4 linked regions of the Danio rerio genome follow. The protein of the gene in region 4 interacts with the protein of the main gene of each other region in a biochemical or structural test. Links are inferred from orthologs where the notes say so. Each region holds a gene or a part of one and is shown on either strand. Other genes may lie near its edges.

Region 1 (3,937 bases), on a different chromosome or scaffold from region 4:
ATGTTTTCATAGATACATTAGCAAAGATGCTAAATATCTGTAGACACACTACTGAACAAAGCTGCAGATAGTATTGTTTACCTTAGCACACTGTAGCCTATAAATATTTTTTATGTCTATATAAATTAAGGTAAGGCAGCTATATTTAGCACACTTATTACAGTTTGTAACATGCTAACTTAGCTCATATTTGTTAACTGCAAAGGTTTTGTCGTATAAAAAAGATCTGCTTGTTGTGATCACATAAAAATGTACACAATCATTTGTTCTCGTCAATAAATCGTAATAGTTGAAATAATAATAGTTCCAACTTAAAACAGCAGCAACAAAAACACTCCGTAGTTACATGCACACATTGTGTGAGATAAAAAAGTATGTTGTTCATAGCGAAGATGCTAAATCTGACACAATAGCTGTAGACAAATCTTTAAAGCAGCAAACAGATTTCACCTTTTATTAGTTTATTTCTGTAGCCTAACAATGTTATGAAGTCTAACTATATCATTTTTACATCTTTTGTTAAAAATAAAGCCTTTCGCAGCTATTTAGCGCAATTATTACAATTGGTTATAACCTGCATGCTAACTTAGCTCATAATAACTGCAAAAGTTTTGTCGTATATGGTGTAATCACATAAAAATGTACCTGCTGATTTTTAGTGATGATTTTGCTTAAAATGTATCAAAAATATCACTAAACACTATTTATTTTGTGTGTGCACCTTGTAAATATATTTTTAATCTTACTCATACTACTCTGCGTCAGTGTTTTGTTGTGAACTCATATTTTTCCATTTAAACTAAAATAATACAATCTTGAAGCCTTGCGATATGTTTACTACAGGTACGAGTATGTATAAGCTAAATGGTGAAGAAAACGTTTAACAAGCCCAAACTTTTATAAACACATCTTGTTGAACATGTTTAGACAACTTCCAAATCACGGCTTTGTGCAAGTTTTCTGAATCAAAATGAATGGTTCAAAACGCATTTTGTCGCAAGAGTGTCTCCGTAATACGTGCGCTACTCCTTTGACGAATCAGAGCTCACCGCTACACACTATGGCAGTGGTTTAGCCAATCAGGTGATGTTTTACTACCGCGTACGCTTTCGTCTGGCCGCATGGACACTCCTCCTCGCTTGAATGAATACCGAACCTTCAGAAATGCCTCCAACTTTTCCTCTTTTCGGTTATTTGTTTGTTTGGTCAACTACTTTTATGTAAACATTTCAGAATTGCACTTTATCTGGAGTGTTTACTTTTGGTTTGTCATGTCGGTGATTTGACGGGCAGTTGCAGGTTATGCAGGAATCTGAGGAGCGTAAATCAAGCAGGTGACTGATAAACTTGAGCACTTTACTACACCTTTACCATGTTAAAATTGGAGTCTGGAAGAGCATTGTGTGTTAGTTTGTTAGTCCGGTAGTAATGTACACTTTATAGGCTGAAAAATAACTGGATTTTTGACCAGTAAGTGAGTGTTATCGTATTAAAATTGTCACATGCTAACTGCTTGATATTAATGAACTGGCACGAACCGTACTGTATGTCAGGGTTTTGCAGTCTTTTATATGTCACGGACATCCAAACCCAAAATGTAAACTACATATTTGTAGTTGCAAAATACATTTATACTGCGAAAACTAGTGTTAGATAATGTGTCTAATGTTTTTTTCTAAATTATTTATTTTCTGCTATAATTTTTTGCAGATTATTAATGAATTCGTTGTCCTGGAACTGTTTTAATTGTTACATTTACAGTTTAAATCAAAAAGCTTGTCTATTTAATTGAAATAATTAGATGGATAGGTTTTTAATAAATATAGAAATGTGTGTTTAAACATTTATTTATATTGTAATACATATAGACATGTTACCCTGGATGTTATGAGGCTAGAATAAAAGCAGTTTTTAATTTTTTAAAAACATTTAAGATCAAAATTATTAGCCCCCTTAAGGTATATATTTTTTCGATAGTTTACAGAACAAACCATCATTATACAATAACTTGCCTAATTACCCTAACCTGCCTGATTAACCTAGTTAAGCCTTTAAATGTCACTTTAAGCTGTATAGAAGTGTCTTGAAAAATATCTAGTAAAATATTATGTGCTGTCATCATGGCAAAGATAAAATGAATCAGCTGTTAGAAATCAGTTATTAAAACTATTATGTTAAGAAATGTGTTAAAGAAAAATCTTCCATTAAACAAAAATAAACAGAGGGGCTAATAATTCAGGGGGTTTAATAATTCTGACTTCAACTGTACATTTATAGTGGTGGTCATGTATAAACAAACATTGTACAGCTTATGCAGTACTATTTATTATAAAACAGGTGAATTTACTAAAGTTTTAATCACTTTAAGACATATTTATCCAAATTTTTCCAAATTTAATGACATTCCATTAGTGACGATCTGTCCCTCATTTGCAAAGACAGTCCTGAGTCATAAGCAGTCACCTGCCAATAGATGTAATATAGACGTGGTGTTTTAGGATGCACAAATGAAAACCGTAGATGACCATAGGCATTTGCAGCTCTGCCCACAATTGAAAAGAAGGCTATCTCACTTGAATTTAAAGCAACAGTCAACAAAATATCACAATTTGGATCGAAGTCTAAAAAGGGCAGTTTAAAAGAATTATTAGTGGGGTATTTTGAGCTGAAATTTAACACGCTCTAGGTCAGGGGTGCCCAAACCCGGTCCTGGAGGGCCGGTGACCTGCATAGTTTAGCTCACACTTCCTTCAACACACCTGCTTGGAAGTTTCCAGTATACGTATAAAGAGCTTGATTAGCTGGTTTAAGTGTGTCTAATTGGGGATAGAACTAAACTCTGCAGGACACTGGACCAGAGTTTAGGCATTCCTGCTCTAGGGGTGTCAGAGACCTATCATCTTGTGAAAAGGGGCATAAACATTTTCTTTACTACACTAATTATTTGCTGAACATTAACAAGGTTTTATTGATTTCCCAGCAGGAGCTCGTTGACATGGACTTTCCCCCGAGCAAGAGACTGAAGGGCCCTCAGGTGAAGACTGGACCCGACCCGTTTGACGATGACATTGATTTCACCCAGGATGATCTGGAGCAGATTGATATTATTGCGTCTCAGGCCATCAGCGCAGACGTCCAGAACAGCGGCTCTAAGAGATCTTTCGACGCTGTGCTCGCTTGCGCTGATGAACCGAGCAAAGCTCCAGTGAGGTCCGGGCGGAAAACATTCGCCCTTGGAGATGCCTGCAGCAGCAGCACTTACAACAACACACACGCTCAAAGGAAAGAGCCTTCTGGTCAGTACTGGATGTTTCTGTTGCACTGTACACAAGTTTTTATATGTCCCATTGGGTTTTTGCAGTTGTTGTTGTTAATTTAAAAAACAAAATTAGAGACAGTTTAAAGAAGCAATTTAACATATTTGTTTGTTGTTTTGTGTCTTGTTAGTGGGCTATTATATATATATATATATATATATATATATATATATATATATATATATATATATATATATATATATATATATATATATATATATATACACACACAGAATTTACATTTCAGCCAGCCAGCCAGCCTCAGCACTTCCAGTGAATTGTCTTTCCGTTATAAAATTGCCATGTTTAAGGTCTGGGTCAGACTGGACAAGAAGCTCAGCATTAAATTACATTTCCTCTCGCCATGTCTTTAAAATATAACAGTTTATTCAACCCCAGAAGTTTCAATGGAGTTTCTGCACTCACCTGCTGACCCTGACAGCGCTAGAGGTTACACAGTCTTTCATCTTGTTTTACACTTAAACAACTCATGCCGAGTTCAGACTGCAAGATTTTAGCCTCGATTTTGACTCGCTGGCAGGTTTTGAGAAATCGCAGACAAATGCCTGAAATCACAGGCAAATCGATGTTCGTTCACGTGAGTAACAATCACAGTGTGA
Region 2 (4,173 bases), on a different chromosome or scaffold from region 4:
AACTGTCCAGCAAACACACACGCAGTCAAATTTGTGCACAGTTTCTGCGTTTTTAAGTAGTTGGAGCGTAGTAAATACTCGCGCTCGCCTCCCTCGCCATAGTAAGCTACAAAACATAGTGCAAATGAGATAAATGACATCAGTATATAGTAAGCGGTTATGATTATTACTCAACCGATACCAAATTTTACATTTACATTTAGCAGACGCTTTTATTCAAAGAGACTTACAAATGAGGACAAGGAAGCAATTTACACAACTATAAGAGCAACAATGAATAAGTGCTGTAGGCAAGTTTCAGGTCTGTAAAGTATAAGAAGGAAAGCATTAGTATTTATTATTATTATTATTATTTATTTTTTAGTACAGTTAGCGTTATATCCAGAGAGGCACTTGCAGATTAGGAAGGGAAGTGAAGGCTAAATAGTTGAGTTTTTAGTGGTTTTTTGAAGACAGCGAGTGACTCTGCTGTTCTGATGCAGTTAGGGAGTTCATTCCACCAACTGGGCAAATTGAGCGTGAGAGTTCGGGAAAGTGATGTCTTCCCTCTTTGGGATGGAACCACGAGGCGACGTTCATTCACAGAACGCAAGTTTCTGGAGGGCACATACATCTGCAGAAGTGAGAGCAGATAAGAAGGAGCAAAGCCAGAAGTCGCTTTGTAAGCAAACATCAGAGCTTTGAATTTGATGCGAGCAGCAACTGGCAGCCAGTGCAAACGGATGAGCAGCGGAGTGACATGTGCTCTTTTAGCTTCATTAAAGACCACTCGTGCTGCTGCGTTCTGGAGCAGCTGAAGAGGCTTGATAGAGTTAGCTGGATCTTTCTGATGTTCTGAATTGTCTGCATTTGCTTCGTGGTGGACTGAAGAAACAATTAATTTTGAAACTCCTATCTAAAATATATTCTTTTTAAAAGTCGGGATAGAAAACTTTTTTCCTCTTTGTACACAATTTATTTCAATTTGAGAAACATTTCAAGTATTTTGGAGCAGTAAACGTGAATTATTGACTTCTGCTGTCTTCATTAGTTTCAAAAGCACTGATTTCTTTACTATTTAAAACAGTGTCTTTGGAGATCTTTACTGCTGGAGATACTGTTGTCCTAAAAAAAAATGTAAATAAAAAATCTTTAAAATATTTATCTTTTAAATTTTGACGAATTTAAAACCCTGACTTTTCAAAACCACGGTACACATTGAACACGGATATCGTCCCATGCCTAATCTGGACACAGCCAGAATGAGCGCCTCCTCTGCCATAAAGCTAAATAAGAGTTATCATGCCAACTTTCTACTATAAACTGAAGCTTGCAACACCCAAGCACTCTTCTGATTGGTCCACTGCTGTGGAACTGACTGTGCTGTGTGTGAAAGTCGAAGACCTCTCAACCAGACATGGCGTTTAAAAAAACGAGATGCTTCAAAAGATGCAACGTAGCAGTCAGACACGTACGTCAAGCGTGTGTTTACATTGAAAAACAATAGTATAGTAGTGCACTATACAGAAAGAAAATGCATTCTGTGTGAACGGCCCCTAAGCAGTGCACAAACACTCACAACCAATTTATAACCATTCAAAAAAGGCACCTCGCACCATTAAAAGTGCATTCAGTGTGATCAAGGCCTCAATGTTATTAATTGTATTATTAATTCCAAGGCTCTGCTGGTTTTCCAGAATTGTCATAGCCAATCTTAACCCAATTATAATTGCTTTGGTTCAATTTATAATTTCCACAACCACTGCAGAGCCTCGGGGATCTCAGGCTGGCTTGGCCTCCCCCTGATCCTAAATGTTCCCTACTGATCATTCGTGAGTGAACTGCCCCCTTGAGTGATGAGTGAATGTGGTGTGCTGGATCTGGCACTGACCGTGGACCGTGAACACATTGCAGTGCGGTGCTCCGTGCCGGGGCGTCTCTCTCCTCCCCGCGGCCTTGATGAAGGGCAGTGCCGGCAGGCTCGGTCTCCTCTGCTCACCCACTAACTTTCCTGGCTGCTGCCCCATAAGAACACACAGCGCAGGAGATCAGCTGGAGGAGCCTGAAAACACACACTCCCCTGTGCCAGTCATGCATGTGCCAGCCTGACCGCAGATCAGATCCCCGCCTTCTAGAGGTTAGAAGTGTTTCTAAGGCACTGTGGGATGTATGAAGGAGTCATCCTCATTCACAGAGTCAGCATTAATGCATGAACATCACTGCTGACGAGCTGTCAATCATTCTGACGTCACGTCAACATCAAACTCTCAAAGGAGAAGATATCAGCACATCAGAGGGGTCAGTGATGAACTCAGACGCTCTGGTGTGCGTGAAACTCTCAATGATCATCATTATTAGAGTTATTATGATAATTATTAGCCACTGGAAGAGTCTGGGAGTGCAGTAAACGCGTTTGGTGTGATCGTGGTGTCATTCAGTAAGCAGATGAGACCGTGTTTGTATCTCCTGATGCTCATTAAAGTCATGAATAAAGTGTGTGGATCTCACTGAAGCCCTCCAGGCTCTTCTGTGCAGATTTAACTCTTGCCTTTGGCTGTGGTGTTGAGTTCTGGTTAGTTGGTAAAGTCTCGTCACTTCCGCGTGCACTTCTCTCTCTCTGAGGCGGATTTAAACGCTCCTCTACCCGCCGCGTGTCTCCGCTGTCGGGCTCTTCTGCTCACCGGACACCCGCTCGGTTCCCCCGCAGTGTTTTAATGCTGGTTCTCGTCATGTTTTAGTAATATTTCATAACTTCCAGCACTTTTCTTCGCGTCGTTCGTCGTCGCAGGAACCGCCATGTTCGCGCACGCGAGCTGCGCCCGTGACGTCACGCGCCGCGCTCTTCCGCCAACAAGCGAAAACTTGTATTTTGTTTTGATGTGAACGCCTTGTAAGAAGTGTTTACCTATTGTTGTTGTCTCTAATATGAATAAATAATAATAAACAGTTAAAAATAAAAACGCTGCGGTTCCTGTACGCAGAAAACATATATTATACAAAACTGTAAGATTAATGCTCTCTTTAACATTCCTAATTAAAGACTTCAAACTTAAAGTGTATATGACTTATGATTCTCTAATTCAACAATATTATTAAATAATATTATATATTAATATAACATCATTCTGAATCATACTAAATTATACCTGATTGATATTTATTTCAATAATCTATTAATACAAAAATACTTCAACAAACTCCAAAATAGCTTTAATTTGATGCAACAGCGTTGAGTTTTACTGTCTTAAATATCAATAATATTTATTCTATTAGTATATATTATTATACAACTATATTAAATTCGATTGTATTTACATAGCACATTTAAAAACAACCATCATTGATTAAAGCACATCATAATGTCAGCACATAAATACATAATTATACGGTTATAATTTACAGCAATTAAATAAATCTGCTCTTTATAATAAGTGCATTACTGCTGAAGGTTGCAGAAGCGTTGCTCTATAGTTGTAGTTGTGTGATCACTGAAGCCCCCTGGTGGAATAAACACACAGAGCAGCGTCAGAAACACACTTAAGGGGTCAGTTCACACAGAAATAGAGATCTACTTTCATTTTAATTCATCTTAGTCCCTTATATATCAGAGGTCGCCATAGTGAAATGAATCACCAACTATTCCAGCATGTGTTTTACACAGCGGATGCCCTTTCAGTTGCAACCCAGGGCTGGGAAACACCCATACACACTCATTCACACACACACACTCATACACTACAGCCAGTGTAGTTGATCAGTTCCCCTATAGCGCATGTGTTTGGACTGTGGGGGAAACCGGAGCACCCGGAGGAAACCCTCACCAACACGGGGAGAACATGCAAACTCCACACAGAAACACCAACTGACCCAGCCGAGACTCAAACCAGAGACCTTCTTGCTGTGAGCACACAGTGCGACACCACTGAGCCACCGTTCCACCCTAATCCTCATTTGCTCTGCTTCTAAACACCTATGGGTTTCTTCTGTCGAATACAAAATAAGATACTCTGAAGAATGCTGCCGCTGCCTTCAATAGCAGGAATAAAGACGATGAAAGTCAATGTGTGTTTCTCCAGCACTCTTCAGGTTGAGAGAATGATCAACACACACACACACACACACACACACACACACACACACACACACACACACACACACACACACACACACACACACACACACGCACACGCACAC
Region 3 (4,284 bases), on a different chromosome or scaffold from region 4:
CCAGCTCTCCAAAGCAGACTATATTGCAATTTCATATCAGCACATCGATAATAAAATGCTTTTCTGTGTGTGTTTGTGTCATGGATATTGCTGCTGAATTTATCTGTGAAGCTGGAACTTCTGCAGGTTTCACCAAGTTAAATTTAAGACTTTTTAAGACATTTTGACCATTATGTACAAATTTTAGACTCATACAGGGCTAAACCCTAAAGAATTTTTTAAATGGCCCAGATAAAAAAAAATATTTATTTTTGCACTATAAAAAATTATATAATTTAATAATACTATGATAATTGAATAACAAATTTAAATATCTATTAGCAAAATATTGTGTCAAAACAAGCAAGTTCTAGCTGCAAACACTCTTTTTTTCAACATAGACTTTCTGAAAAATGGACAAATGTTTTAAAAGTTATTATAATAAACTAAATGTATGCAAAACAGTCCATCCAGGTTAGTGTCCTAAGCAGTAAATACAAGTGGAACTTTTAAATAATAATAATTATTATTATTAGGAAAATAATTAAACAATTATGGTAAATGGAGTTAAACAGGACATTTGTAAATAAAAGATGGATTGTTGGTGATTATATGGATGTTAATGGCCAGATTGGGTAACTATTTATAAACAACTGAAAATTAAGACCTGTTTAAAAAGATTTAAGACCTACAACACAATATTTTAATAGATTAAAGACTTTATGGCCTAACATTTAGCTTTGGAAATTTAAAACATTTTAGGACTTTAAGACCCCGCGAACACCATGTGGAACATTGCATTTTATCCTGTATAAAAATACCATTCAGACGTACCTTTATCATCAAGAAGAATATTCTCAGGCTTTATGTCACGATGTGTAATCCCAACACTGTGAAGATATTCCTGTAAGTGAGATGGAGCAAGTTTCACAACAAAGTCAACTTTGAAGAGTAAATGGTTCTCAAAATACACCATAAAAAAAAAAAAAAAAAAAAAAAAAAAGATCACAAATCTTACCACACCAGCTATCAGCTGCTGAAAAAACCTGTGCGCCTCCTTTTCTGGCATCCCAACATCCGGTTCTGTCAGAAAGATTGACAAAATATACTTTAGATAAATTTTAGGTATTTTAATGCCTTTATTTTAATAAATCAATTCTGACAAGAAAGCAAAGGATGGGAACATTTGTTTTTTTTACAGTTGATTTACTCACAGGGCTCAACAACAAGGACTGCCTGATGGCCCGGGGCCAGCGTGAGAGACACTTGGGATAGTAGACAGGATCATTACGATTGGGAAAGTGCTGCCTTGTCACTAAAGCTTAATTGACCTGCGATTATTGGTCAAATGCAAGCATTTTAAGTTTGTGTTTTTAAGTCTTTAAATGCTACCTTTTCTGTGATGTCGTAAACACCATATTGTTTTTTGGTTGCTCTTATCTGATTTTGTGTATTGAGCATGCTATATTTTTCCCCATAACCTGGTAACAACCAGTGGTGAAGTGACAGCAACATCAAAATATAAGGATAAAAGAAAATGTCTGTGTTTAACATCTTAGAAGCAGACATTTACATGGGTACAACATGAGAAAAATGAAGTAATGTTTTGCACAATTTGCCGTCAGTATTACAAGTCGGCCACCATTTTTTATATAATTTCAAACTGCAATAAAAAACCTGCACATTTTCCGTACTGCTCTTTTTGTTTGCACAACACTGAGAATTTTGCTCATTATAAATATTTATTTTCTAGATTCACAGACATTATTTATGTCACATTATTTAAAATATGTGGCTAAAAAAAAGCTATTAACTTCTCTTTTTTGTTTTTGGGCCTGTAAAAATTTTTGTCAGGGCAAGTAAAAATATGAATCATTGGCCCGATCAGACCAGTAGAAAAACTCCCCAGCGTTGAACCCTGACTCATCTACACGACTCAAAAACAAAAAGGATGCAACAATTATTGAATGAACCCAAAATGTTCAATTACCTATTCGGTCAAAGAGCTCTCCTCCGCTACAGTACTCCAGAAAGATGTACTGTGTCGTCCCCTCACTCCTGTGCCCAAAGAAACGTACAATGTTGGGGTGTGAAAGCATCTTGCATATGCAGACCTCCTTCTTCACATTCTCGATGCAATCCTTGGCTTTTGCCATGTCCACAACTTTCACCGCCACAGCCTCTTCTGTCTTCTTGTTGACCAGCAGTCGCACCCTACAATGATTTGAAGCAGATTAATACAATTTTAAGACTGCAACTGATCAAGATGGAACGAATATGAAGTGCATTGGTCACTTACTCTCCATATGCTCCCTCTCCAAGAGTTTGTACCACATCCCAGTCTTTAACAAAAGGCACAGCCATTATGCAATCTGTGGGCATAAGTCAGTCAGAACAACCTTGTAAAAGCAAATCAGCATAACAAGCTAATAGACTATAACACTTACAGGACATATGTTAGTTTTTAGTAAATAAATATAACAGTAAACATGATAAATGTTACGGGGCAGGCAATTGTAAACAGTGAAACGTCAAATCTGATAGCTTTGGGCTGTCGGATATTAGTTTTAATTTAGCTAAAACAAACATACCTTCGCGTATATCAGAGGTAACGTTGTCCCATGTGAAGCGGTTTGTTAATGTAATTTGTTGTTATAATCACACACCCCCTTGATAAGTGTCTATGCAGACATAATAATACAAGAGCGTCTGTCCAAACTTTGGCGCCTTCTAGAGACGTGACATCATCGGAAATGCTAAGAGGAAAGAATTTTCAAAATAAAAGCTTAAACCGCTAACATGAGGGACAACTTTTTGCGTTATTCATTCATTCAATTATTTTCTTTTCGGCATAGTCAATCTTGGGTCGCCACAGCGGAACGAACCGCCAACTTATATAGCACATGTTTTACGTAGCGGATGCCCTTCCAGCTGAAACCCATCACTGGGAAACTTTTTAGCATTATGTTATATAGAATTATTAAGAACAACCACAACATGCGAAATATAAAAAAAAAAGAAGAAGAAGATTTTTATATCCCTGTTGTGTTTCTTTCATTTGAATTGTACTGTAAAAATATTTTTTGATTTAGTTTTTTATAACTGTCATATTAATGTATACAACAGCAGTATTTAACATTAGCTATATAAGCAAAAGATGAATATGATAAGTATTTTATGCGTTTTACGTTTTCATGTTATTATTTATAAATAAGAAGAACACAAGAAATAATCATGAAATAAACCGTTTATGTAGGGGCTTTTATTTTATTTTCTAACATAAAAGCCCGTCAATAAGTGGGCAAAAGTTCACGGCAGTAGTTTATTTCTAGCATTTCGATATATTTAAAATAATATTTTACAATTATAAGCTAACATAATTATCATCATCATCACATAACTATAGGCGCACATGGGAGGCGCAGATAGGCTGATGCAAAGAGCATAGAGTGATTCTAAGCTCTTTGGCTGATGTATCGAAGTGGTCCTTTTTCGTTGTTATGGCAACATCACTTCAGTTCCGTAAACACAACTTCATTTATTGAGTGTTAGACGGTCGTTTCTAAAGCTGTCTTGAGTGTCAGAAATTAGTAAACCATTTAAAGGGTAAACCTAAATAAATAAGGTAAGAAAAAAATTAACAATGTTGACAGCCCAAAGAAGCAGGATTCGGTGTCGCGAAATTACTGGACCTGCACATTCAGTGGCATTGGTGAGTTATTTGTGTTGACCATTATTAACGTTACATGTTTTATATTGAATATATTAACGTCATAATAATTATACAATAATAATTCTAATAGTCATATAGTAATAAATAACCTTACAATCAGGCCTACTATATCATAACAGACAGGCATATACTATACATTAATGTATACAATGATAGGCCTACTATTTTATAATATTATGCTATAGTAACTATAGTAAAACATTTTCATTATACATAAATTTTATGTGCCCAAAGAGAAATCTATCTATCTATCTATCTATCTATCTATCTATCTATCTATCTATCTATCTATCTATCTATCTATCTATCTATCTATCTATCTATCTTTCTATCTATCTATCTATCTATCTATCTATCTATCTATCAACATTAGATAGACATTAACATAAGTTTGTCTTCAGTAAAAGAGAGAAGGTAGAAAGATAGAAAAGACATTTATATGAATGGAGCTTTTATGAATTCACTCCAAATTTGTACATTTCAGAAAGCAAGACCTCCTTTATCCAGAGACATAGATGACATATTTGTAAGGAGAAGGAAGCAGGAGGCGACGCGAGGCGAGGTGCTGGAGT
Region 4 (3,372 bases):
GTGTATATATTACTTCGTCTGTTCATAAAAAGAAAAAAATACTGTAAAAAACAAAAAAACGGGTAAATATTTTAAAAGGATGATAGCATGATAGAATGGTAAAATACAAAAGAATCCTGGTCAAAAAGGAAGGGTTGACAGGAATACCTTTAAATCTTTTAATATTAGGACACTAAAAAATACCCTGTGACCTTTGCACATCAAATACATTAATTTAAAATGCACATAGGCGAGGCAGTGGCGCAGTAGGTAGTGCTGTCGCCTCACAGCAAGAAGGTCGCTGGTTCAACCTAGGCTCAGTCAGCGTTTCTATGTGGAGTTTGCATGTTCTCCCTGAGTTCGCGTGGGTTTCCTCCGGGTGCCACGGTTTCCCCCACAGTCCAGAGACTTGTGGTACAGGTGAATTGGGTAGGCTAAATTGTCCGTAGTGTATGAGTGTGTGTGTGAATATGTGTTTGGATGATTCCCAGAGATGGGTTGCGGCTGGAAAGGCATCCGCTGCGTATAAACCTGCTGGATAAGTTGGCGGTTCATTCCGCTGTGGCGACCCCGAATTAATAAAGGGACTAAGCCGACAAGAAAATGAATGAATGAATGAATGAATAAAATGCACATAAACAAAGGCACTTGTGTACTTAACGATGGTTATGTCCATGTTATGTTTAGAATTCAATGTTTGGATAGCTGAACACAAAAGCATGCATGATTTACATTACACATAAGGATCCTCACTCAGCCTTGAGCAATTAACGGATGAAGTACCTTCTCATTGAGGATCTCTCCAGATTCATTGACTTGAGTCTTTGAGAAACCCTTCACAGGTTTACTCCACTCCACTAAAGGATCGTGCAGGAATGTTTTTAAAACGCTGGTTGGGAATAAAAAGAAATAATTATGCAGTTACAATAAAATACAAATACAGTTAGAAATTACTCAAATTAAAACACAACATAGAATAAAGATCTGATATGTTTTTTAAGCTTTCTACTGTACATTTTATAGTTCATGCAATATAATATATGGTAACAAATTGATTTTAATATCTAATTACACTTAATGACTGAAAGTGCTGAAAATTTGTGAATATAATACTACATTGCCATTACACCACTGCACAATCAACAAACAAAAAAAAAACACAGACAACAAAAATTGCAGACAAATGAGCTTATTTAACATCATAAAACAATAAATTAAATAGTTTTATGCACATATAAAAGATTCATTTATATGTGAGTAATGCTTTGTTTTATTAAGGTTGACAAACATGAATTTTAACTTACTAATGTTTTATTAAATGTTGAACTTTAAATAAATTCTATACAAGTATTGTTCTCTATTAGTTTCTATTATTGGTGCATTAAATATATTAACTAATGATACCTTTTTGTAAACGTGAGTGATTAACAAAACAGAAAAGGTTCATTTAAAATGTAACTAATATTATTTCCTATTATATTAAGAATATATATCTTAATAAGCGTGAGAAAAGCACCAAATCACAACTTCTTCAAATAAACAAGATAAATAGCCATATGTTATATCTTATTTATGCAAGGACATGTGATTTCAGTCTCTACATGGTCGTGCGATTACAAATTTCTGCTCTCTGAATCGCGCACAGTGGAGTTCTACACAGTCACTCTCTGCTGTATGGGAATGAGACTGCGTGCCACACCTGACAGGACTGAAAACGCACATCCACTTCCATACATTATGCATAGCCTACAGCAGCCAAACTTCATTCATGAGTGGGAGCACAATGCGCTCAGTCGCAGCAGCTAAAATATATACAGATGCGATGGGACCTCTGTTTAGTTATTTGGCGTGACCCGCGCGAGTGATGCATTCTTTGTTGTAAGTGCAGCCATTGTATCTCCAGTGCTTTGAGCTGCTGTGACGCGTTCTCCCGATCTAGCGTCTCATCCAACCTGACCTCTCCCGCAAATTTAAACCGGCCCCGTGACCCCCTAAAATGAGTTAAAATACTCTGAAAATCATGGCGACTAGAATGAATGAGAGACAACAGATTGCGAGAGGCACAGTTATGTTCTAAGCATTACATTTCTTCTAGGGGTGTTAAAATTAATTGTTTCTTCGGGGCACTGCGATGCAGATGGGGACAATTCGATATGGGTTCAGTAATAGATCATAACCGGTTATTACGTACTGACGTCATTTATCTCATATGCGCGATGTCGCAGTAGAATACTATGGCAAAGGAGGCGAGGACGACTAAATAAAACGCTCCAACTACTTAAAAGGGAGATATATATATATGCACATAATTTTGCCGCTATTTCACTACTAGGAAGAAATGCATCCCTGTCTCTCTCTCTCACACAAACTTTGGACATTTGACCCGCTGCTGTTTGTGAGATAAGCTTTCCACTTCACTTGGCTGTTAAAGCGATACTTGTAGATCCAGAAACGAGTGTGCCCGAGGTGCGAGTTTTCTCCACTGTGTCTATTACGTATTACCCATTATAACCACGTATTATGCAGATATAGACTGTAACCGCGACTGTTCTTCCCACGTGACTCCTTAATGAACAGCGCTTTCATTTATAGAGCCAAGCACAGCCCTTTATGTTAAGCAGGTGAAGACAATGACCATAAAGGTGTAAGAAAGCTCAAAATGGAAGCGGGATAATATTGACATTAGTTTATTTGCTATAAATGCTCGTGTTGTCTTCTGTGCATGTGTTGGTGTTTTGTTTGATACATTCTAAAAGAGTGTTTTCTTTTAACAGGTCAAATTAAAAGTGCAGTACATATAGGCCTATCTTACTGCTGGATTAAAGGAAAAAAAAATTACACAAATAATATATAAATATTAATGCATTTATGGATTTTAATTTTTTTAAAAAAGTTGTGTTGTGGAAAAAAAAATCTAATTAATTATGGAAAGCATCATCAATGCACCGTGATGCACCGAAATATCGAATTAAACCGAATCAATGGCGTGATAATTGTAACCAAACCACGAGACCAGTGTAGGTTCAAACCCCTAATTTTTTCTGTCATATAAATAGAGCAGTAAAGATATCGCGAGTGCAAATCCCTCTATCTCTGAGTGATCTGCTGTCATTAGTTAGAGACCAGCAAAAATTTGAATGTCCCCACCCCCCAAAAAACTGTTAACCCAGGGGAAACACTGCAGTCATCAAACTATTGTAATTTAAAAGTTATTGTATGATATGTTAAATTTAAAAGTTTAACAGTATTTACCTCATGAGCGGCTCCCGCTGGTCTCTCATGAGTCTTAGTATGACCTCACACGCCTGTCTGAACAGGCCCTCTGTACCCATGGGCCCCATTGCATGAACCATGTTCTGGGTGAGCCGGAAAGGAACCACCTCAGGAACATCA

Evidence for each region. The genes of interacting proteins can lie anywhere in the genome.
Region 1: the proteins of atr (region 4) and atrip form a complex in vitro, tested with the Homo sapiens proteins (4 studies listed by BioGRID and IntAct, with this or other methods). The link is inferred for Danio rerio from reciprocal best matches to the Homo sapiens genes ATR and ATRIP.
Region 2: of the proteins of atr (region 4) and abl1, one has a biochemical effect on the other in vitro, tested with the Homo sapiens proteins (2 studies listed by BioGRID, with this or other methods). The link is inferred for Danio rerio from reciprocal best matches to the Homo sapiens genes ATR and ABL1.
Region 3: of the proteins of atr (region 4) and chek1, one has a biochemical effect on the other in vitro, tested with the Homo sapiens proteins (7 studies listed by BioGRID, with this or other methods). The link is inferred for Danio rerio from reciprocal best matches to the Homo sapiens genes ATR and CHEK1.

What each region holds. Positions count from the first base shown.
Region 1 is NC_133197.1:10,191,086-10,195,022, forward strand, and holds the start of atrip (ATR-interacting protein), read left to right. Parts: upstream 1-1,137; 5' UTR 1,138-1,334; intron 1,335-2,980; exon of another isoform or gene 2,981-2,983; 5' UTR 2,984-2,995; coding exon 2,996-3,296; intron 3,297-3,701; coding exon of another isoform or gene 3,702-3,767; intron 3,768-3,937. UniProt on the Homo sapiens protein: Required for checkpoint signaling after DNA damage. Required for ATR expression, possibly by stabilizing the protein.
Region 2 is NC_133180.1:78,512,065-78,516,237, reverse strand, and holds the start of abl1 (tyrosine-protein kinase ABL1), read right to left. Parts: upstream 2,801-4,173; 5' UTR 2,007-2,800; coding exon 1,871-2,006; intron 1-1,870. UniProt on the Homo sapiens protein: Non-receptor tyrosine-protein kinase that plays a role in many key processes linked to cell growth and survival such as cytoskeleton remodeling in response to extracellular stimuli, cell motility and adhesion, receptor endocytosis, autophagy, DNA damage response and apoptosis.
Region 3 is NC_133196.1:24,017,262-24,021,545, reverse strand, and holds the start of chek1 (serine/threonine-protein kinase Chk1), read right to left. Parts: upstream 2,801-4,284; 5' UTR 2,571-2,800; intron 2,352-2,570; 5' UTR 2,344-2,351; coding exon 2,279-2,343; intron 2,194-2,278; coding exon 2,038-2,193; coding exon of another isoform or gene 1,970-2,037; intron 1,063-1,969; coding exon of another isoform or gene 998-1,062; intron 884-997; coding exon of another isoform or gene 870-883; coding exon 814-869; intron 1-813. UniProt on the Homo sapiens protein: Serine/threonine-protein kinase which is required for checkpoint-mediated cell cycle arrest and activation of DNA repair in response to the presence of DNA damage or unreplicated DNA.
Region 4 is NC_133177.1:18,755,501-18,758,872, forward strand, and holds part of atr (serine/threonine-protein kinase ATR), read right to left. Parts: coding exon 3,232-3,372; intron 869-3,231; coding exon 763-868; intron 1-762. UniProt on the Homo sapiens protein: Serine/threonine protein kinase which activates checkpoint signaling upon genotoxic stresses such as ionizing radiation (IR), ultraviolet light (UV), or DNA replication stalling, thereby acting as a DNA damage sensor.